Linked DNA regions of Alligator mississippiensis. The protein of the gene in region 1 purifies or fractionates together with the protein of each later gene. This does not show direct contact. Links are inferred from orthologs where the notes say so. Each region holds a gene or a part of one and is shown on either strand. Other genes may lie near its edges.

What was found.
Region 2: the proteins of TGFBR2 (region 1) and ENG purify together in Homo sapiens (affinity purification with western blotting; 3 studies listed by BioGRID). This does not show direct contact. The link is inferred for Alligator mississippiensis from reciprocal best matches to the Homo sapiens genes TGFBR2 and ENG.

What each region holds. Positions count from the first base shown.
Region 1 is NC_081828.1:143,383,294-143,394,426, forward strand, and holds the start of TGFBR2 (TGF-beta receptor type-2), read right to left. Parts: upstream 4,411-11,133; 5' UTR 4,307-4,410; coding exon 4,255-4,306; intron 3,611-4,254; exon of another isoform or gene 3,415-3,610; intron 1-3,414. UniProt on the Homo sapiens protein: Transmembrane serine/threonine kinase forming with the TGF-beta type I serine/threonine kinase receptor, TGFBR1, the non-promiscuous receptor for the TGF-beta cytokines TGFB1, TGFB2 and TGFB3.
Region 2 is NC_081835.1:57,302,106-57,312,827, reverse strand, and holds the start of ENG (endoglin), read right to left. Parts: upstream 4,484-10,722; 5' UTR 4,138-4,483; coding exon 4,080-4,137; intron 1-4,079. UniProt on the Homo sapiens protein: Vascular endothelium glycoprotein that plays an important role in the regulation of angiogenesis. Required for normal structure and integrity of adult vasculature. Regulates the migration of vascular endothelial cells.

The DNA.
Region 1 (11,133 bases):
CATGGATCTAGCCCTAAGTCTTTGGATGCTTGTGGGGAGTAAAAAGATAGTGATCGAATACTGCTAGTTTCATGCTATCTTATGAACTAAATGTGTTGCATTAACCCTTTAATGTAGATATAGAAATATATCCACTTTGATATAAGGTTAAGACTGTTTTAACTGTCCAGAAACAGGCTCTTCAATTATTTACAAAGGTGAAGCTACCACTGAAATCTACTAATTAGTATTTTTCTTGCCAATGTTGGTGATATACACCCATTTTACAGTTTAGAATAGTTGCTAAATTTTGTCATAATGGGAATAAACTGAAGAAGGACCTGCCTGAGTAGAGCATCTGTACTCAGACTGCACTTAAACGTGTGCTTAATGTTAAGGACTGCCTAAATCCCACCAAAAATCAACAAGACTTAAGAACATATTTAAGAGCTTCTTGGTGTGTGACATTATTCAATCATGTGCTTAATTCTTTTCCTGAAATCAGGCTCATACTGAGGAAGAAACTCACTATTATATTATGTTTGGAACACATCTTTCCAGGCCTAAAACCCTACATGTAAACTACAATTTCATGCTTTCAGATAGTTGGTGATAAGGGTGCATGCAACTGATATCAGTTTACCCTACTTTATATTTATTGGATATTACACAAGTCTTAGATACATGTTGAAAATTTATCTTACAGCACTAAAACCAGATCATGCATTTACTAGAGAATGCTTCACTTGGTCTCAGAAACAGTCCCATTACACTCTGACATAGTAACCATGCTCAGTCTCATTTCTACACTAACTAAAGCAGTGCTCATTTGTAATAAACAGATTACTCAGAGGCAAGGAGGTAGCAAGAATGAGGTTTAATTTCTTAACTCTTATCACAGCCACCCACTAACAGAGTTGAACATCAAGATTAAGAACTCACAGTCAAAAAGACTGAGGCTGAATCTATTCAATCTTCTCAAGTTAGTCTAAGCTGTATAGATTGAGCCGATAAACAAGTGAACAGACATTCACTTTTGATTCTGGAAATACAGCCCCATGCCTGCAGTGGCTCAGGTCAGAAGCCGGGGGTGCTAGAGTAAGACTCCCTGCTTCACTGGAGCAGACAGCTTGGGCCAAGGCTAGCCCTACAAGGTGGGGTTGGGGTTGGCAGAAGAGGTGCAAAGCATTCTGGGAAGCCAGGGGACTGCAAGTCTACTTGAATCTGGACAGGATCTGGGACAGGAGTTCAATAAACTGATTTAACCTAAATCAATTAAGTCTGATACTACATCCATCCAGATTTATCTTAAACCATTTTGGCCATTTCTAATGTGGCTTATGTGCACTGAACTTCTGATTTGTTACAGATCTGAACCAGTTTCTTATACTGGTTTATATGTAATTTCTGTCCCTAGCTCAAGACTGCCTGAATATTCTGTAGATTAAGCCCATTCTTTCTACTTATTTGGGGCTATTTCCATCTTCTCCGATTAGCTTTATTCAAGAAAATACCCACCCATTTTCATTTTTCTACTGACCAAAAGCAACTTTACATCCTATTCTCATTATTAGGTAGAAAAAGAAAATACATACTTGATGAGCTCTGAGGCCAATAAATAAATAAATAAATAAAAATTAAGCAAACTAGATGGAAGAAAATGGCACTGACTCTTTGAAGGTAGGGCTATAAGAGATTTCCCATTTTACAACAGAGGGACTGATTCTGCACTGGTTTGTACTACAAAGACCTATGTAGTCCTTTACCTCCATACAAAACTAACCACATACTACCTGGTTTGCACTGTTTGGAAGCTGCAAAGCATCTGAAACTTCTGCAATATGCCAAGCTGAGAATTCAGGGAATACCAGATGCCAGAATTGCCCTTTAGGGTCATAAGCAGGTGTGAATAAGTAACAATAGTTCAGAGTTGAATTCTCAATTATGCTGGAGGCCAAAAGTGGCTCCAGCCAAGCCCAGGATTGTAGTGTCAAAAAGGTGGCTGAAAGCTTTGGATTCTACCACCTCAGCAGAACTGAAGGATACTTTCAAAGCATACTGCATGTGTAAAGCACTTTCAGACTATAATTTTTCCTTTGCATGAGTATTCACATTTAATACCCACTTTGCCCATATGCAAATTGCTACACAAGGTGGCAGCACTAAAGAATAAGGTCCACAGCTTCGGTTCTGCTCATTTACAGCAGTGCAAACTGGAGTAACTCTACTGAAGCTAGTGGTGTTGCAGTGGGGACACAGAAGTGTAACTGCAGAAAGAACACGGCAGAGCTGTGATACAGACACTACAAGGAAAAAGTCCCTACACCACAAACGCAAAAATACCAATTTAAAAATATCCTGCAGAGGAAATCTGGTCATGAGAAACTTCATCAATTGGTGCCACAACAACACCGTGTTCTCCTTTCCTCCCCTCCTCCCCCAGAAGAGGAACTATTATTGGATGAAGATTTATGAATATACATTTTTAAATCATATTAAAAAGCTCCATCCTCAATCTTGTAAACAAATATAATATAGGACTACTCATACAAAACCTTTTCACATTTAACAACTAGGAATTATCGTTTCCTACTGTTATATTATAAACAAGTTTGAAGCTATAACAATTCATCCTGGAAAAAAAAAGTGCTTGGTTTTAAAAGAACACACTCTGGTTAAATATAGGTTATAAGGTATAATCTTTTACAAAAGTTAAGAGCTAAACTAAAATCAAATGTATCCATTAACCTTTCAAAAATTCAAATTGAAACACATTGGGCCAGATCCTGAGCTTGTGTGTATATTTGTATAGCTCCACTGATATCAAGTGACCAATACCAATCCGCAATAACTAAAGATCTGCCTCATCATTGTCTAAAGGAAGAAAAACTACAGTTTACAAAATTGGGTTAATGCAAAAGAACTTGAAATAGGAACTTACTGGAAAATGACTTTCAACAAGTGCAACGGATTACTTTATTTTCATTGCCCAAGAACAAATATTATCACAGTCATCACAATCATCACTTATTAGGTACCAAAAACACATCATCGTAAAAAAAGTTCAGGCAGAAGGCTGAATATATCAGGTGCAAAATTCTTATGCTACGATAAGCCTTCATCCATACGCTGCCTTCTTTAAGATACAAACTTTATATCATTGTCACATCTGTCCCAAAAACTGTCCAGGTGTGCAGTTCTATTAGCTTTGACAAGATTACTCACTGTGCAAAAAGCAACTCAAGTATGTACAGCATCAGCAGTTTTGGATGATTGCTAAAAGACGATAAGGAACAACGGCTTGGTGGAGTGCTTATTTACTGATCAGATACAGGCCAATTAAAGGAACGTGAGGAGAGAGACAGATTCCAGAACCGTTCAGCAGTTTACACAGTGATCATGTTACTTGAGGACCTAAGGATAGGTATTTAGTACCTTAATACGTGCCTTCGGTTCTAGGTATCCACTTGATTTATAAAAGCTGTTTGCAAGTTAAAAATCCACCAGCCTCTGGCCCCTCAGCACTTCCTTAGTTTCTGGACCTTGCAGTACTAACAGGCAACCCTGCTTTCACAAGCAGGTTTTGGGGCCTACTCCCCTGTGCGCCTACAGGAGCAGCTTTTGACATGCGAGCAGTCATGCTGAGCTTGCCTGCAGAGGTGTAGGTGTAGGATGAGAAACCCCAGACTACCAACTTCTCAAGGCAGGGGCCTTGTTTTCCCCTCCACTGGCCAAGCCCCTTGGCAGACCTTTGGCAGGAGACAAATCCATCTGTGACTAGCACTAGGAGCTGGAGGGGCTTAAAAACATCCAGGGGAGTGTTATCGAGTTGGCAAAGGGGGGTGGGGTATGGCTGTCCAATCCCGCACCGCAGCCGTTTTGGGAGCGAAAGCAGATCCCAAGTCCTCCCGAGGGCATCTGCCACCACTTGACAGGTAGCGCCTGGGAGACGCAGCTGTCCGCTTCACCCCATGTGCACCAGGGCCCACACGCCGCCCCAAGGAGCAACCACCTCAGGGATGCAGGCACAACACAGGGAGCTGAGTTGCCTTCCCTGGGCACTGCTGAGATGCCCCGTCTCCAGCAGTGCCAGGAACAGCCAAGCCGCCGGACAGCTGGGCCGAGGGGGCATTCATCCCCTCCACTCCCCTGCCCTGGCTGGGAAGGGGTGCCCAGCAGCGCCCTGCCCTCCACGGCGCACGGCTCCTCCCGGGGGCCGGGGCGGGCACCGCGCCTCCCCGCCAGCGCTGTCAGCCGGACGCGGCGGACACTCACCGCAGCCCAGACAGACGTGCAGCAGCAGCAGCAGCCCCCGAGCCGGACTCATGGCGGGGCCGGGCCGGGCCGGGCCGGGCCGGGCCGAGCGGGAGGCCGCGGCGGAGGCTCGCAGGCTGCCGGGGAGTGAGTCACTCGGGCGCTGCAGGGGAAACAGGAAATCTTAAAAACTTCGCCAACAGCTGGGCAGGACTTTCTCCCTCGCACAGTAGTTCCTGCCCCCCCAGCCTCTCCCCGCTCCGCCCCGAGCCGGCCCCTCGCGGCCGCGGCAGAGGGGGGCGCCGCGCCAAGCCGGGCCGGGCCGCGGCGCGCTCCGTCAGGTGTGGGCGCGGGACCGGCCGGGCCGGCTCGGAGATGGAGGCAGCGGGCGGCTTGGATGGACCGGGCTTTCCCGCCCCCTCCGCCAGTCTCGCGGGGCTCCCGCAGCGCTCCCCGCCTGCCCGCCGCCCAGCCGCGGGGTCAGCGAGGCAGGGCTGGAAGGGACCCGCGTCCGCCCAGCCCCAGAGCGCGGGGCCGTAGAGGCAGGGCTGGAGGGGACCTACGCACCCCGACCCGGAGACCACAGCATCATCGCAAATGGGGGCTGGCAGGGACTAGTCCACCCCCCTGCTCAGAGCAGGACCATCCCCAACTAGTTCATCACCTGGAAGAGAGGGGCAGGGCTAAAAGGGACCTACCTAACTACCCCCATCTGGAGATGACAGGTCGTAGAAAACGAGAGGGGGAAAGGACCTCAGGATTGGAAGGGACTAGTCCATCCCCCTGCTCAAAGCAGGACCATCCCCAACTAGATCATCAACTAGAATAGAGGCAGGGCTGAAAAAGGCCTATGTACCCCCCATCCAGAGACCACAGGATCATAGAGGCCGGGCTGGAAAGAACCTACATACTCCCATCCCGAGACCACAGGATCATCAAAAATGAGGGTTGGAAGGGACTAGTCCATCCCCCTGCTCACAGCAGGACCATCCTCAACTAGATCATCAACTAGAATAGAGAGGAGGGGCTGAGAAGGACCTACATACCCGCATCCTGAGACCACAGGAACGTAGAGCCAGGGATGGAAAGAACCTACATACCCCCATCCCGAGAACACAGGATTACAGAATAGAGGCAGGGATGGAAAGAGATCTACATACTCCCATCCAGAGATCATAGGACCATAGAATAAAGGGAGGACTGGAAGGGACCTCCACAGCTCATCTAGTTCAACCCCTCGCCTGAGGCAGGCTCATCCCTATGCCAACCGCCTCGAGAACCTTGTTAGAATTCCTGCCATCACATGTGTGGTCATATGGGGCTCTTTTGGGCCCAACAGCATACAAACAGTCCCTGCCCCAAAGGCCTGATGAGTGAGGGGTCCTCTGGCAACATGTAACATGGTGTCCAGGGGCTGGACACAAAGAACCAAGAGGCATATGGGCAGATCTAAGGGGGGAGGGGGGGCATGCAGCTGGTGAGGTGCATCAGCACAAATAAAAACCACACATGTTTTTCTCTGGTTAAAAATAAACCGGATGCTTTACTAATACTCTCAGGGCCTAGGGCTGGATTACTCATTTTAAGGTCAAAGCAAAAGCAAAAACAATTTGCTGGACTGTGAAAGAGGAGTTTAATGACCAGGAGCAGTGAAGAGACTGGAGAATGGCAGACATAAGGTGAGCTTGAACATCAAGACCATTAAAAAGAAGAGAGAGTTGTTCATTTCAGGAGGATTAAGAGTTTAGAAGGGATAAAGGGATGAAGTAGATTATGAGTCATGAAGTCAATGGACTCATTCTGCAGTGCCTAACTAGAAGTGCTGTTGCCACTGCCAGGCAGTTGGTTTTAAACGTTGCAGGGGGACCCAGAATCTAAGGGTTGTGCAAGTGCATCATGGCACCACCCCTGGGTCCACCACTGAAAAGGTCTCTTCCAGGCCTGTATTTCCATGTTAACACCTGAGCTGTTTCTCTGTATAGGCCCAGTGAATCCCCTGGTACCTCTGTAGCAAAACCCGCAGTTTTTCTTTTTTTTATTTATTTTAAAATGCATTCCCTCCCCTTCCCCAACCATTTCTGACTTTTTCTCTCCCTCTCTATTCCCTATAGAGAAGTATAAGTAAGCTAAGATGTAGGATAAGCTTTAACATTTTATTTTAGGTAGTAAGTTTTATTTTTCTCTCCCCTCTGCAAATAAGTTCCCTACTATTTTGATATCGATACCCACTGTTTTATAAGTGATAATTATTATGTTTGTACTGCTTTTATATTGTGTGATTACTGTTTTAGGCCTATATATGTAAGTTAGCATAAGTCATGTCAAGTTTCCATTTTGTATGTCAAGCCTCCGTCTTGCGTCCTCTGCCTGAGCATCCCCTGTGTTGCAACTGTATGATTCATGTACCCCTCCCATGTCAATTGGTTCCAGGATGAATGAGAGCGATTGGGAATGAGTGAAATACAATGGTAGCAGGCCTGTACTGTCTGTAACGACTAGGCCATCACCTCGCATTGATTCATCCAGGAACCATGGACCTCACCCAGGAACAGAGACAAGAACCCAACATTTGAAAGACAAAAAATCCTACAGAACTAGTAACTCTACCATTGTACCCCACCATTACAGACACACGAAACTGCACATCCCTGCATGGAGCACACATGCTCAGTAAACCAGGGGCTGACCCTTACCGGGGCATGCCTCCTGTCACTAGGGTCACACAGAATCTGCTCCTATAAAAAGGGGGAGTGAAGACAGACCCCGTGGGACGCCCTCTCCATCTGGACCAGCACCATGCCACACCACCTATCCACCCAGAGGCCCTGCCGACGACCCCCCCTCTGGACAACACCTGCTGGACAAAGACCCCTTTCCAGCCTGGATAGGTAGCTATCACCCCCTCTTCAACCAAGGACTTGGACTCCACTTCTCTTCCCCACCTGGACTCCAACCCTTCCACTGAGTCTCTTTCTCCTGCTGCCATTGTGAGTGCGTGTGTGTGTGTGTGCACACGCGCGCGTGTGCATGTGCATGTGTGAACCAATAACTTCATGGGACTGTGTAGTGTGTTGTCTTGTTAATAAAACTGTTATTTGGACCCCTAAGTTGGGTTTTGCTTTACTAGGGTTTGGCCCTGCTCCAATCTCTGCTCCTCGCCCCTCTAACTTCTGTCTCATTTCTCCCTCTCCTGCTTCTGGCTCACTGCCACCTCCAACACTTGTCCTGAGCTCCTCTCTGCCTCCAAACCCCCTGTTTCTTTGCCACTGTCTTATTCCCTCTGCCTTTTCCTTTTCCCCTGAGCATCCAGGTTTCTGCCTCAGTTTCTTTCCTGACTGTCGCCTCCTTGCCACCACTTATCTGCCTCCCCTGCCCAATATCTCAGCTGTCTGCCTCAGTTTTCAGCCCCAGTCTACCTTAAGTAATCCTAAGCCTTGGTTCCTCAGCCAGCTTCTCTGTAGTCCACTGGTTCTACTCCTGGTTCTGGCAACTTTCACTCCCTGCGCTTTAACTCTCTCTCTCTCACCTGAACCTTCCCCCAAGTATCCCAGGTACCCCAAGCACACACATATACACTGTACCATCCAAATTAGGAATTTACCTGTGTGGATGTGTATGTGTGTGAACTGGTGAGTGTGTGTGTGTGTATATATACATATATATATGTCATTGTGTGCATGATATACAAATTAGTGATCTGTGTCTAACTTTTGGGGTGTATAGTGTATGTACTTGAATTGGTGATAGGTATGCATGTGCCTAGGCTGGTTTGGATGTGTATGTCCCTGAGCTGGTATTGTGTGTGTGTGTATGCACCCAATTGATTTGTGTGTTTGTATATGTGCAATTGTGTCACACCCTCCTATCTAACAGTGCAATATTGAGATCCTGAGAGTTGGACTGACCCCACAGGGCAACACCTCCACATGTGACAGCAGAGTAGCTCTACCTGTGCATGAGCACACTGTAAGATCGGTGTTGAAAAGACAAGACAGAACAGGCAGGTGAGAGGAACCAGAGAGAACAGAGGCTGAAGTAAGGGTAATAACAGGAAATGTTAGTGCAGACTAGCTGTGTACCTAAGGTGTCAATGTAACAAGCCAATCTCTACTGGCAGCTGCAATCCCAGCAGCTTGTCATCCTTTTCTCATAGTTTTCATTTCTCACGCTTGCAAAGATGGTTGCAAAATACCTGAATATTTGGCCAATGTTAGAATCATAGGAAAACGGGGCTGAATGGGACCTCCAGAAATCCACTAGCCAAATAGCCTGTTCAAAATAGGATCATTTTTGTCTAAACTAGCCAAGACAAAAAAATCTCTCTCACTGGCACTTAAAAATTTCCAGTGATGGAGACTTTATTGCGTTCCAAAACTGAAAAGAATTTGTGGTTTTTAAAGGAAAATTTTCAGAAAGAAACAGGCAAACCATTTTCCTGAAAACTAGGGTAAATTGTTAATAAGTCAATCAACTTTTTTTTCAAGCTAAGCTAGTTATGTAAAGATACTTGGCAGAATTTCATATCTTTTTTAAAATGCGAAATCTACATGCACAGGCACAAAAATAACCTGAAATAAAGGATCATATTAATGAAAATGTTTCGTGATTCCTCCCCACCCCGTGATGCCACCTTACCTAAGCACAGCCAACAAACAACCGAACAGGAACTCCCTGCAACAAGTATTGCAATGGGCGGGTAAGTTTAAGATGTATTTTACCAGATTAGGTGAAGGCAAGCAAACACCCATGTAACACTGGGCCACGTAGCAATCTCAGCCATCAACTACATATCCAACAGGTCCTGACTTTGCGATGGCTAATGCTCATTATGGGTCACTGAGGTAGATGAAATTCATCTGCTTCTTTCTCTAGCCTAGAGGGACTGTGGGCTCTCCATCACTGGAAATGTTTAAGCACAGGTTAGACAATTTTGTTATTTAGGATGGTATATAGGATGATTTAGAAATGATCTGGTTTTGAACAGGGTATTAGGCTAGTGGACTTTCTGAAGTCCCATTCAGCCCCATTTTCCCTGTGATTCTAACATAGACCAAATATTAATGTATTTTGTGAAGATCTTTGCAAGAGTGAGGAATCAAAACTAGGGGGAAAGGATATTTTGAGGTTGGAAGCAATGCAATGCAGCTGTTCTGTATAGTCTATTGAGCAGTTAGTGACCATAAACTCTACTGAGAGATTGAACTAACTAAGGATTGTAGCAATAGCCACTCTTGTCTCTAGAAATGCAGCCTCCAGATATAAAGTAATTATTTTACTGTGTATTTTAGTATGTGGGCTTTTAAATTTCACTACATAACTATATAACTGAGAGCAGAGTAACTAGAAGCACAGGAATAATTTGAGAGTCTCTGTTGTAATTTTGATGATTCAGCTGTGTCTTGATTACAGAACTGGAAGTGGCATCAGACCAGGGTATTTGAGACAGGGATTGAGCCCGTGCATGTGCATAATGCTGAATGTCCCATATCAGCATTTATGAATTGTTCAGTTATTTACATAATGTAATAGTTCTAGAATTTAAGCTTCAATATCCCATTTATGCAAATTTGAGTTTTAATAACTCCCTAAATGTATAGCTACATAGCTACACAGTTGCAGTTTATGGTGTGGATTCTTATAAACCTCTCAAACAGTTTTTTCTTTTCTTCTTGTTTTCCCTTTATATCTAGTCAAGATGCACTCGTACAGCTGCCACCTGTCCTAAGATGAGGAAAAAAAATTGCCCGAGTGACACCAAGAAGAGAGTTGAGGAATTTTTATCTAATGTTGTGTACTATTGCTGCTGTATAAACTAGCCATGTTTAGTAACTTCACTAAGAATTAGAATTTTTAATATGTTTTTCCTTATACATTGTAGCAATGTAGTTTTCAAATGACAGATCATAAAGCTCTTGCTGGTGGATTAAAATGCTGGTTAGATAGTGTGGGGTCTCCTCTCTATTTCCAAGTGCTAATTTGGTTTAATAACAGAAGGTAAAACATTATTGTTATCATTTTTGCCATGTAAGAAATTGTAGTTGCCACAGAGACGTTACAAAATTATGAATAGGGGAGAGAGAATAGTGTTTGAACATGTGGGCCTTGGGTTGGAGTTTGGATGTCAGTCTGGGTGTTTGGGTTTTTATCTGGGTGTCTTAAAGGAAAACTCAGTATGTGGGTTACTACCACCACAGTTTTTATTGGCCAGAAAGGTCATGCTTATACAGCCTCCTGGCTGATCCAAGAAATGCTGTTAAGAAAATAAGCCTTCTGTACTCTCACCAACTTGGCTGCAAGAAAGATGGGCAATTAACCAGAATAGATCGCTTGGGAGCAACTCAGAGTGGCCCAGGAACTATCTGCTTTTTCCAATTGCTAGTGTTATCTGTGAGCTTGATGACAGCAAGTGGGCAGGACTTATTTTCTCAGCCGCTTTCCTGGGGTGAGGTAGGAGGGCTGTGTAGGCATGCCCAGAAAGTCAACATAGACGGTAAACCAGGAAAAAAAAGGCAAGTTCACCCTTTTTTAACACTCCAAACTGAACATGAGTTGTGGTACACTTTGAGTAACAGAGAGCCAGTTCCTGCCTTTCTTGGGTACTTTAACACACATGCTTAGACCCAAGCGCCATTTACTCAGGATTTCCTGGACAATTGAGAATTAAAACAAGGCTAAAGTTTGTCACTTATTTCCATTTCCTCATTCATAGTTCTCATTTCCTTACTCACTGACTGCACTTTACTGCTTTATTTCTAGACTGAAACAGTGAATAATTATCTTCAGTTTACTACAGGTAAAGGGAGCCAAATTGTGCATATTTTAGCTGAAATCAGAAAAGCAAGCAACACAGGTAAATATTGAAATATTAAATAGTGAATAATTTCTTCTGGAGCATTAAAA
Region 2 (10,722 bases), on another chromosome or scaffold:
GTCTGGAACTGATACGCAGAGCTGACAGCTGCTGCCCCCACCCCCAGGGGTGTCTGTATTTCAGTGAGCTTGGCGCAGTTTATGCCTCCATAAAGTGCTTTGAGGTAGAAGCACAAGAAACCGGAGTTCCTCAGTACGGACATGCCCATATTGGCTTCCTTCTCTTGTAACCAGACCTCCCTTTCCTAAATCCCACCCCCACCTTGAGCAATCCTATATGTGCATTACACCCACTGGTCTTGTCTTCCCTCTGCCATTAATTAGCATCGTGCACCGTACTGCTGCCAATTTACTGGAATTGTTTTCTAGCTAACAGAAATATATAAGTGGAATTGAAAGCAGCTGAGTTGACACAGTTTCTTCTCACAGCAGATGGGACTAGATACCCTAATGGTCCCTTTCCCCCTTATATATATAATTTTGTGTCTTAGGCCAAATTAGTTGCAAATTCTATCAACTGAGCAGAGCGCAGTTGTTCAAGTCTGTGTTGCACTACCACTGGCAAGTATCCTACCTCTCAGACTCGTCAGCCTGGGACTTCAGATGCTCCCAAATCCATGGTGGGCATCCTATGTGCAAACTCCAAGCCCAGAGGCCCTGGAGTTCAGATAGCCCCTAGTCTTGCTTGCCTCTAGCCAAAAGGCCATAGGCCATAGTGCTGGGCTCACCTTCCTGTGAGCTGCCCTCTGTCTCCAAGGCTTGAAATATCTACTCATCTCTGGGCCATGGTGATTCTCGCACCTAGGGACTGGTGTCTGGCCTTGGATAGTTGCCATTTTTGAACTGGTATGAACAAGGAGTCCACAGATACTCCTACATCTGTGTAACTTGCCCCAAGTCCAGGATAGCATTACCAGGGGAAGAACGAGAAGTCAGCCTATACTGGTGTGACTTACATCTTCCATCCCAGGGTAGCCATTTGCTCAGTGCAAGCGGGCTATGGCCTGCTCCCTACCCAGGTGCAGTGAGGTACTGTAATGGTGCATACTGGGAACAGCTACACTTGAATATCTACCTTGTATGTCTCCTCTAGACCCCATAATCAATACAGGTATACAAACCCAGTGAAGATTACACAGGTGCAAGCAGGCTGCCTGTTCAGGCTCTCAGACAGCACCGCACGCTGTGTACGCTTGACACGGGACAATGAGAAACACACATACATACACTTGTTGGGCTGGGGCCAACCCCGTAGTAACTTTGACCTAGTGGCCACTGAGCCAGTGCATACAGCTGGACCAATTCTTCAGCGGAGACTCCCTTCCAGTGACACAGGGGTTTCAAAGTGTGGCCTGGCCTGTGTCCTTGGCTATCACGCAGACAGTCAATGGTGGAAATGAACAGGACCATCCTTAGGGATCCACCAGAGACACAGAGGAAACTTGGGGCTTTGAATAAAGACCTTGTGGGTGCAAGTCAGTGATGCTGTACCAGGGACAGATGTGTCTCAGTGCAAGTCTCTAGCTGTGCCCCAATCCCACCTGAAGTATGCTAGCCCACCACATGCGAGGCTTCCAGGAGAGATCCCTTCCACTCAACCCTGCCACGCGGGTGACTAGTGCAGCCCTCTCTCAACAGATCGCACGAGCTCTGGGAATGATCCTGCAGCCCCTGCTGTTTTCACAGCCAATGGTTGCTCTGTGATCCCCAGATCCAGCTAACCGCTTTCCCAGCCCTCCTTACTATGGGCTCACCAACTTCCAGGATTCTGTCACAAGCCCCTCTGATATTTGACAGCATTTTTCTCACAGTCCCAGCTCCTGGAGTCATGTGATTAGAGGAAACTCAGCTTTCCATTCAAGCACCAAGTCTGTAACCCTCTGAAACCTTGCAAACACAACCCCCAAGGCTCAGAAATCAAAAGGAAAATTAAAAACAAAGAGTTTACATTGATTCAATTGACTTGAAATCCCTGTTTTAAAATCTCTGGTGTCTGGGACCAGACTCCTGATCTTCGATCTCTTGGCGTTGGCAATAACTCACTACCCTGACTCAAATTCCACTGCTTGCTCCCGGACCCTGCTGAGAGAGACATTTGCGTGTCTTCAGAGCTCTTCTTTGAGCTGAGCGAGCTGCAGAAATAATGCCCTTGAAGATGTTGCAGTGCCTGTCAAGCTCTTCCTTCCTTCACACTCTCTGGGGCTCATGCATTTCAGAAACCACCCCCAGTAACTATGTTATCTCCACAGCCACTACCACTCCTGGAAACCTGACCTTGGGTCTGAAGCTGCTTCTCCTGCCAAGCCTGCTGTGCTGATCTGTTCAACTCTACCCAAGCAGCGCGATCTCAGAGCATTATAAACTGCAGAGTGGACTCAGATTGCTGCGATGACCATCCCAGCTTTCCACCACGTCCCGCTGCAGCGCTACCCCTGTGGGCTGGATGTGGCCATGTAGGCCAGTCCCTTGGCAAAAGCCATGGTTCATCCCCAGAGCAAGATTTTGGCTCCATCTCTGCTACTTAATTCTCATTCTTCTTGGGAACTAACACCCTCCCCTCAGGGAGATCCTTGCCTGCACATTTCTTTTTGTGCACTCAAATGTTTGCTCCTTCCAATTTTTTGCTCGCCTGTAGTTGCTGGAGACAAGTAAACTCTCCCCCGCACCAGCCCCAATGTTGCTTCACTCTTTGGCCTGCATGTTCACAGGATTTTTACAAGGGTGAAGAAACACAGCTGGGCTGTTCTCCAAGCAGCTTATTTTTCCAGACTAGATGATCCCAGTGAGAGGATTTCTCTTCATTGAGGCTATTTGGCCAAATTCCCTGTTTCTTTACAGTCTCAGGTTTCAAAGCCCGCTAAGTTTGAGGGAGAGATTTCTTTGTTTCCCCTTCTCTCCCCCCCTTCCCCCTCTTCCCCGGCTGCTGCTCTGGGGCTTTAAAAGCCAAAGAGAGGGGGAATGGGGATGACCTGTGGTCCGTACTTCTTTCTGACATATCCAGGCTTCCCCCACTCCCGGCTCCACTTGAAGCTGTTTCCTCAGCAAAACCCCAGCTCACAGCCTTCTGCCTGCAACAGCCGGGGCTCAACTTTACTGAGTAATCAAAATAAAAGCCATTTTGTGCAAAGCCAGACCCTTGGCTGGCTTGAGTCAGCCCGTGCCCATCGCGGGTCACTAGGTTCTGTGGTGAAGCAACACTGACAGCATGGCTGCACAGCTCTCCGGGAGCCAGCAGTAACCCCAGGGCATCCCAGCCTGGGAGGAGTGACCTTGTGGCCAAATGAACCCTTAGCAGCTGCTCCCACTGGCTCTGCACTGTCTGCTCCCAGGGTATTTCCTAAGAGCCGTTTATCTGGAGGTTTGCTGGAAGCCACCAACACCCCACATCCAGCTCCCTCCAGCTTCCATAGGTCTGATCCAAAGTCCATCGAGAGTATGTCCATCAACTTCCATGGATCCTGGATAAGACCCACTGAGCTGGATTCTGGGAGCTGCAGTGCGCCTGTGGTCCCCACTGAAGCCCCTTGCACTTTCCAGGAGGTGCTTAGCTCTTTGCAAGATGCAACTCTGATGACAAAAAGCCACCGGCCTCGCACTGCAGCTCTGCACACTGCCCCCAGCCCTGAGGACCTCGCAACAAATCATTACACAGCACCAACCAACCTCCCAGCCCCAAGCGGCCACAGACTCTCCTCGACCCAGCCCTGGGAGTGCAGCAGGGGGGCACGGCGCAGCTGGTGGAGGCCTAGCGAACCTCGCTGGCAGAGAGCAGAGCTGGGGCTGTGACATGCTTCCACCTCTCTTGTTTCTTCAGAAGCTGGATGGAGCTGGGAACCACCAGCCCAGCATCACTGGCTTCCCCACAGAGAAGGTGAGGAGACCAAACTGGGGGATTCCCACCAGGGGCAGATGCCCCAGCCTTTCTGGGACAGAGCAGGACTCTGGGAAGGAGGAACGCCTGGCTTGACTTGAATTCGTGAGGACTTGCGAAAATGGCCCGGGGAGCTCAGGAGAGCGGTGAGGAGGCCAGCGAGAAGGAAGAGGCAGAAACAAGCCAGAAAGAGACAAAATGAACACCCCCCCCCCCCCCCCACCCCGTGCTGAGCTCAGGAATAGCTGGGGAAGGAAGAGCAACTCACTTGTGTGGGCGCGCAAGCAGCAGAGCAGCAGCGCAGTGAGGCACACGAGAGTCTGCATGGCGTGGGAACGCTGCCTCCTGCTCCGGCGTCGCGTCCTGGCTCCTCTTAGCCCGTGTCCAGAGGCAGCGGCCTGGCCCCAGAGAGCCTCGACGGGCTGCACGACTGCACGATGGGACTGTGGGCAGGCAGGCGGAGGAAGGGGGATCTGCTCCACTCCAGCCTTGGGGGAGTTCCTGAGCTGTCGGTGGCAGAGAAGGAAGCAGGGACCTGGAGGTTGTGGCTGGTTGTGTCCCGGCTTCTCCGCCGAGAGGATGTGCTGGAGGGGAACTCACAGCGCCTGAATGTGCGGCACTGACTCAACCCAGTGCTGATGACCCAAAGCGGCAGGAAATCAACTCCCTTTAGAGGAGGGTCTGCCAAACGCTCGCCTGCCAAAAAGAGGGAGGAAATGCCGTTTGTAGAGGCTCCGAGCCTCTGCTGGAGGTCATGCACTGACAGCAATGGGTGGGGGCTGCGTCCTGAGACCGAAGGAGAGCCGGCCAGGATGCCGGGTGCTCACAGTCCTCCCTCCTCTCCTCAGGAGGGGGCTCCTAGACCATGGGTGGTTCCTGGAGGCGGCTCTGTTCCCCCCCACGGGCCTGCATTTGATTTTCTGCAGCCCAGTGAGCCACATATCATCCCCTGGCATCACTCTATCCTAAAGATCATCTGTAGGGGCCCCAGGGTAGGAGACTATGCATGGAGCTGGGGCTGGGACTGGGGCATGCACCTCAAGGGCTGCAGGAAGTATGTGGACACTGCCTCATCCTGAGGAAGGAACGTGCCTTAGCGGTTGGTGCACAGCACTGGGAGTCCCTGGCTGGCATCTCGGGGACCTTTGGCTAGTCATTGCACCCCTCTGTGCCTCCATTTCCCTCTCTGTAAAATGGGTAGAACTGTCTCCGAAGCCTCCTTTCAGGGAATCTGGAGGGAGGAAGGATACAAGACTTACAGTCAGTAGCCAGTCTTCAGTGCTTTGGATGGCAGGGGACAGAGGGGGGAGAAGTGTCACTCACAGCACCACGGAGGGAAGCCAGGTGGGAACTGCATGTGTGGGAGGCCGAACAGAGACATAAGACCTGAACAACACAGGTCTGACAACACAGGTCTCATACTGCCAAAGGATAAGAAGTACATAGATGGAAGAAACGGTAGATGTCAAGGCATGTAAATGAGGAGATGCTATGCTAGTTTGGACATGTGTTATGTAGTTTCATGGTAGTTTGGGGTCAGAAGGGATCATCTAGTCTGACCCCCCACCGCTGGCAGGAGCACATGCTGGGATCACACAACCCCAGACAGGTGAAGTGAGGTAAACTGTTATGTTTTTAATGTAGAGAGGGGAGGATGTTGATTTTAATGAAAAAAACCCAACCAAACAGGACTCATAGGTCTGACAACACAGAATCTGAAGCACTGCAGCCGCTCAACAGCCCCAGTCAGCCCAGAGAGATCTTGGGGACTATGGTGCTGCGGAGACAAAGCGGGGACAGCATCACGTGGACCTTTATTGCAGGCCTCCCTACATTGCCACCAGGAACATGCACAGACTTCCAGCGTACTCCACCCTGGCCTTCGCCCAGCAGCACCGCAGGTCAGAGGTAGTGGGAGGTGGCTGTTAATCCAGGCACTGTGCAGAAGTCTAAGGGCTGGTTCACACCAAAGTTACAACTGGAGCAAGGAGCCTGTGGCCCTGGCTCGGACGTGGATGGGCTCTTAGCTGTGAGCTGCGACTGGACACAACAGGGGCCTCAATGTGGTTCAGGAGGGTCCCTTCTAGCCTTACGTGTGGAGCCAGTTTGCAGCCAGGTTAGGAGACAAACGTTTCACAGGGGCCTCATTCTCTGGTTACTTGCTATCCAAGGACAGGGCTAAAGACCTGCTGTTGACAGAACAACAGGGACTGCACGGAGCTGGGAGCCAAGGGGCCGCAGCGGCAGAGGGGAACGGGTGATCATTCCCATGGCCACAGCACTTCAGCCCAGGCAGACCAGGCTCCTGGGGCTCAGACAGACCCTTCAGAATCAGAGATGGACCTGCGGAAAAAGGCAGGTCCATCTGGGTTTCTCCCCAGGGTTTGGCTCCTGAATCCAGAGTGCCGTCAAGATAACGGGACAGCACCCGCATGCTGGCAACGTGGAAGGGCTGTGGGTGTTTGGAAAGAGCCCACAGCAGTGTCCAGGACACCATGGAAGAGGGGCTGTTTTGAGATCAGCAACCCATTTGCCTCTCAGCTAGTTACAGGCTGCTCTTGCTCCCTGCTGCTCTCAAGCACCTGGTCCCTCACTCTCCCAGACTGCAGGGCTCCTCTCAGCTGCTCCCCCACAGCCCCCTGGCATCCCAGGTCCCTGATGGGGGAAACAAGTACTGGGAAGAACAAGGGTCGAAGGCAGGCCTCCAAAGCCACTCCTGCTCCATTGCCACCTCAGTGGGAAACGGGGATGCAGAGGACTGTCTTGGTTCCCTTTCTTGCTTGCACTCGGGCACGCATCAGGGCAGTACGTGCCACCCCAGGCTTGGGGGCCAGGTCTCCCATGACTTCAAACAAATGAACAGGTGGCACCAGGGATCAAAGGCAGGAGCAAATGTTTATCCCACTGCTTCTGCATGGCAGCAGCCATTGAATGATGCAGAAGATGTTTAGGTAGCTGTGGGGCAGGAGGAGGTGTCACAAGGATGCCAAGAGCCAAGTGAATGCCTCACACATAGGCTTTGGGTTGGAAGGAGGTGGCCAGAAAGCTACAGCAACAGCCACAGGGTTGGCCAGGCAGATGGCAAGCAACACAGTGCTCATACAGCCAGCAAGGCGCCCAGCAAGAGCTAGGGGGCAAAGAGGCGCAAGAGTCCAGCTCCAAGGGGAGAAGGCGGGGAAGGCCGATCCCCTGCCCTTTCTCACAGGCCCCCCACCAGCACCCTCCAGGGCTTGAATGCCACTGCTGGCGCCTTCCCTTCCAGTCAAATCCTCCCTCTAGAGCACATGCTCTCGGCCAAGCCTCGCCTACAGAGCCCTCCTCCAGCAGACGCCTGGGCTGCATCCAGTCTGGCCCTTCATCCGGTGCCTTACACGTCTGCCTTGGAGCGTGTCTCTCTCCACGCCGCATGCTGGACGAGACGCATTCCTGACTGGTCGGTTCCCATTGACTCCAGGAGATCAAAGAGGAACATGACCTGAAAGGCCTTGCCTCCTGGAATAGCTGTATATACAGCTGGCCCTTTGCATTTCCCCCTCTGTTATCTTTGGCCTGGCCGGGGCTAGAGGCAGAGATCGATGGATTGATCTGTCTTCAAGGTGGGTGGGAAGTGCCCTGCTGACAACCCGCATGTTTGTGGTAACACATTTCTTCCTGGCCAGTCGCCCCAATGGCAGGAAAGAACGAGCCTTAGCCTCTTGGCGTAGGGAGAGGACAACAGGATGGAACGAAGCGTGCGGAGGTCCCGGTGCCATTGTTTGCTGTTCCCCGAGACGTGTAGGCTCAGCCGCGGCCCCTTCAGCCGACAGTTCCTCCCCGCGAGGAGCACGGAAGGTGCAGAGCCTCTGGCAGGACCAGGCTTAATGTCCTGGCAGAGGTGTCTTCAGAGTCAGGGGCAGCCTATCCCCCAGCTCCCAGCCCTGGGCCACATTAGCACATGATTCTTCTCTCTCTCACCTTTTTCTTTTTTGAAATTAAAATTATATATGTATGTGAGAGAGAGAGAGTTATATACACCCCTCCACCCTCCGTTATAAACTTTCCATCACACATCTTAAAACCACATTTAGAAGCCTGCACTTCCCGTTACAACAAACACACCCACTCCCCTGCACACCTACCCTCCACCCTCACCTACCCCAATCACACTCCTATGAAACCCCAAATTGGGGTTTGGGCTATTCTCAGTTCATTCGCTGTCCTTATCGCTGTCACTTCTGCTGCTGCTAATCCTGTTGCAGTCCTTCTTGCTGTCTCCAGGTCCAGCTGCATCTCTGTCCCCTTCGTTCTCTCTGTCCACTTTCCCTCCTGAGGGGTCTTTGAACAACCAGTGCCAGGTGTCGCTTTTCCAGATGAAGTTGGCTGCATCTTCTCCATCCTCACTCACCAATTTCTGGCGGTAGGACTAAAGTTCGCTCAGAAACATTTTAACGCAGTCTGTTTCCTTGAGCTTGGCGTGCCTGTATAACAGGAGGTTCCTGCATTGCCACAGGGCGCCCCTGACACAGGACACAAACTGGTGGAAATGCGTTGTCTGGGACCCCTGCTGCTCAGTCAGGTGTCCGCACATCACCGCCTCCCTTGTCGTCAGCCTGACCCGTCACTCTTGCAAGGAGCTGGCTTCCCTTTTTCCACACACCCTTGGTATACGGGCAGTACCATAGGGACTAATAGCACTGCCCTCCCATTTCACAGGTGGGGATACTGAGGCAGAGAGCACTTAATTGCTTTGCTCAAGGTCACAAAGTCTGTAGCAGGGCAGGAAATTGAACTAGGATGCCCCGAGACCCAGGGTAGCACTATTACCACTGGGCCATCCACTCCTCCCTGCTTAAATGGGCTTGGCCCTTGAAGGGGGAGGAAAGGACTAATTCTCCTCTCCTTCTAATTTTACTCCCATTGAATTCTAGCTTCATTGGAGTTATTCCAGATGACACTAGTGTGCAAGACTTGTGTCTACTCTGTGCAACTGTAAGTCTACCCAGCTCTGCTCCCTCTCATCTCTTCACTTATCCCCTTTCACTGGCTGATGTAACTAATCAGCTCCAGAGCCACCTACTTCAGCACCAGTTACAGCACAAGGGAAGCTGATGGAGTGCTTGCCCCTGGTCAGTAGGTCTGCCTGCAGGCTGGTGCTGCCTCCTGCTGGAGTGGGTCACACAGCAAACTGGGCCACACTGCCCATGGATGCTGCTCAAGTCCAAAGGCAGATAAGATTCTTTGGATAAATCCGATATCTTTTATTAGACCGACTCAAATAGTTTGAAAAATTCTTCTTAGCAAGATTTCAGAGTCTTCCTCAGCCTGACGAAGGGTGTTTATGCCTGAAATCTTGCTAAGAAGAATTTTCCATTTGAGTCGGTCTAGTAAAAGATATTGGATTTAGGCAGACAAGTCTCTTTGGGTATGTCCTTAGACCAACACAGCTATGACCTACACTGCTCAAGTCCAAAGGCACAGAGGACCGGAGGAGCAAGCATAGGTCTAGTCCGTGAGGTCATGAGATCCTGCGGTCTCATCTCAGCTCTACCACTGACTTGCCACGTTCCTCCTGCCCCTGGGAACCTTCTGAAGTGGATGTTAATGAGGTGTCCTGAGAGGGTGGCCAAAAAGTGAAAGCTGCAGTCACATTTAAGGGACTGTTAGTACCCAGACAGCGATGGAGAACAGGTCTGCATACATTTGGCACCACTCTTGTATTTGATATAATCAGTTTTGCCATTTACCTTAATCAGATCCATGCAACCCATGACCTCCTTGGGCCAGAGGGTTTCTCCTACTTGCTGTGTTCCTCTGGCCCTTACTGCTGTGTGCTAAATACACTGGGCTACAGGCATTTCCTTGAGACAAAAGGAATAAGCTGGTGGGTACGGGGATGTCAATGAGTTGAACTGAAACTGCCTCCTACTTGACTTCTCTGCAAAAGCTCCAGTGGAAAGGGATCAGCTGATGTGGAAGTCAGGCCACATAATCCTGAGGGAAAAAAATGTGACTTTTAATGACATCTTGAGCAGCCCAATCATTTAATCAGAGGGGTCAGGTAGAGGCCAGAGGTGGTGTTAATGTCTCTGCATTACACTGTGTTCTTATACTAAACTTTGGGTTCCTGGAGTGTGACGCCAAATATCTATTGCGCAAAGTAGAAGGGATACAAGAAAGGCTCCCACAGGGCAGGGCAGGGCAGGGCAGGGCAGGGCAGGGCACACACACACACAAGATGATCCCCTGTATAAGTGTACACAGCCATGCAATGTCCTATCATACACAAAGTGACCACTTGCCAAAGCACTGGGGCACAAAGTGATGTCAATCAACCTAAAGAGCTTCTACATGACCTACTGAGCCAGGCTGGTATCTTTAAGGGGGCTGAACCCAGTCTCTTACTTTGTCTAAACTACAGAAAACTTAAGTGGCTGAGACCTGACTTCCTTCTAGCTCAGAGGCGGGCAATTATTTCGGGCGGAGGGCTGCTTACTGAGTTTTGGCAAGCCACTGAGGGCCGCATGACAGGCAGCCAGGGGCAGATAAATATTAATTTTCTAAATTTTAAGGGCCCCGTGGGCCAGGTAGAATGGCCCGGCAGGCTGCATTTTGCCCACCCCTGTTCTAGCTCCTTGCATAGACCCAATAGCTGTAGGAAGTACATATGAAACATCTCGATTGGAAAGTGTTTCAGGCTAAGCAGGGTTTCTAATGTCTGATTTCTGGCAATCAGATGCCCAAGTCTACTGTCTGTGCACTCTCTACCAGGCGTGCTGGCAGGCTTGTTCCCATAAGGTCTCCTCATGTCTCGGAGCCTGTATGTTCTAGCCATTTCTTCTAACACTGGTTCCAGGAACCAGTGGGGTTTGTGTTTACAGAGACTCTCTCTGATAACAAGGGTAAAGTGGAAAACAAATCCCCTGGGGTTGCAC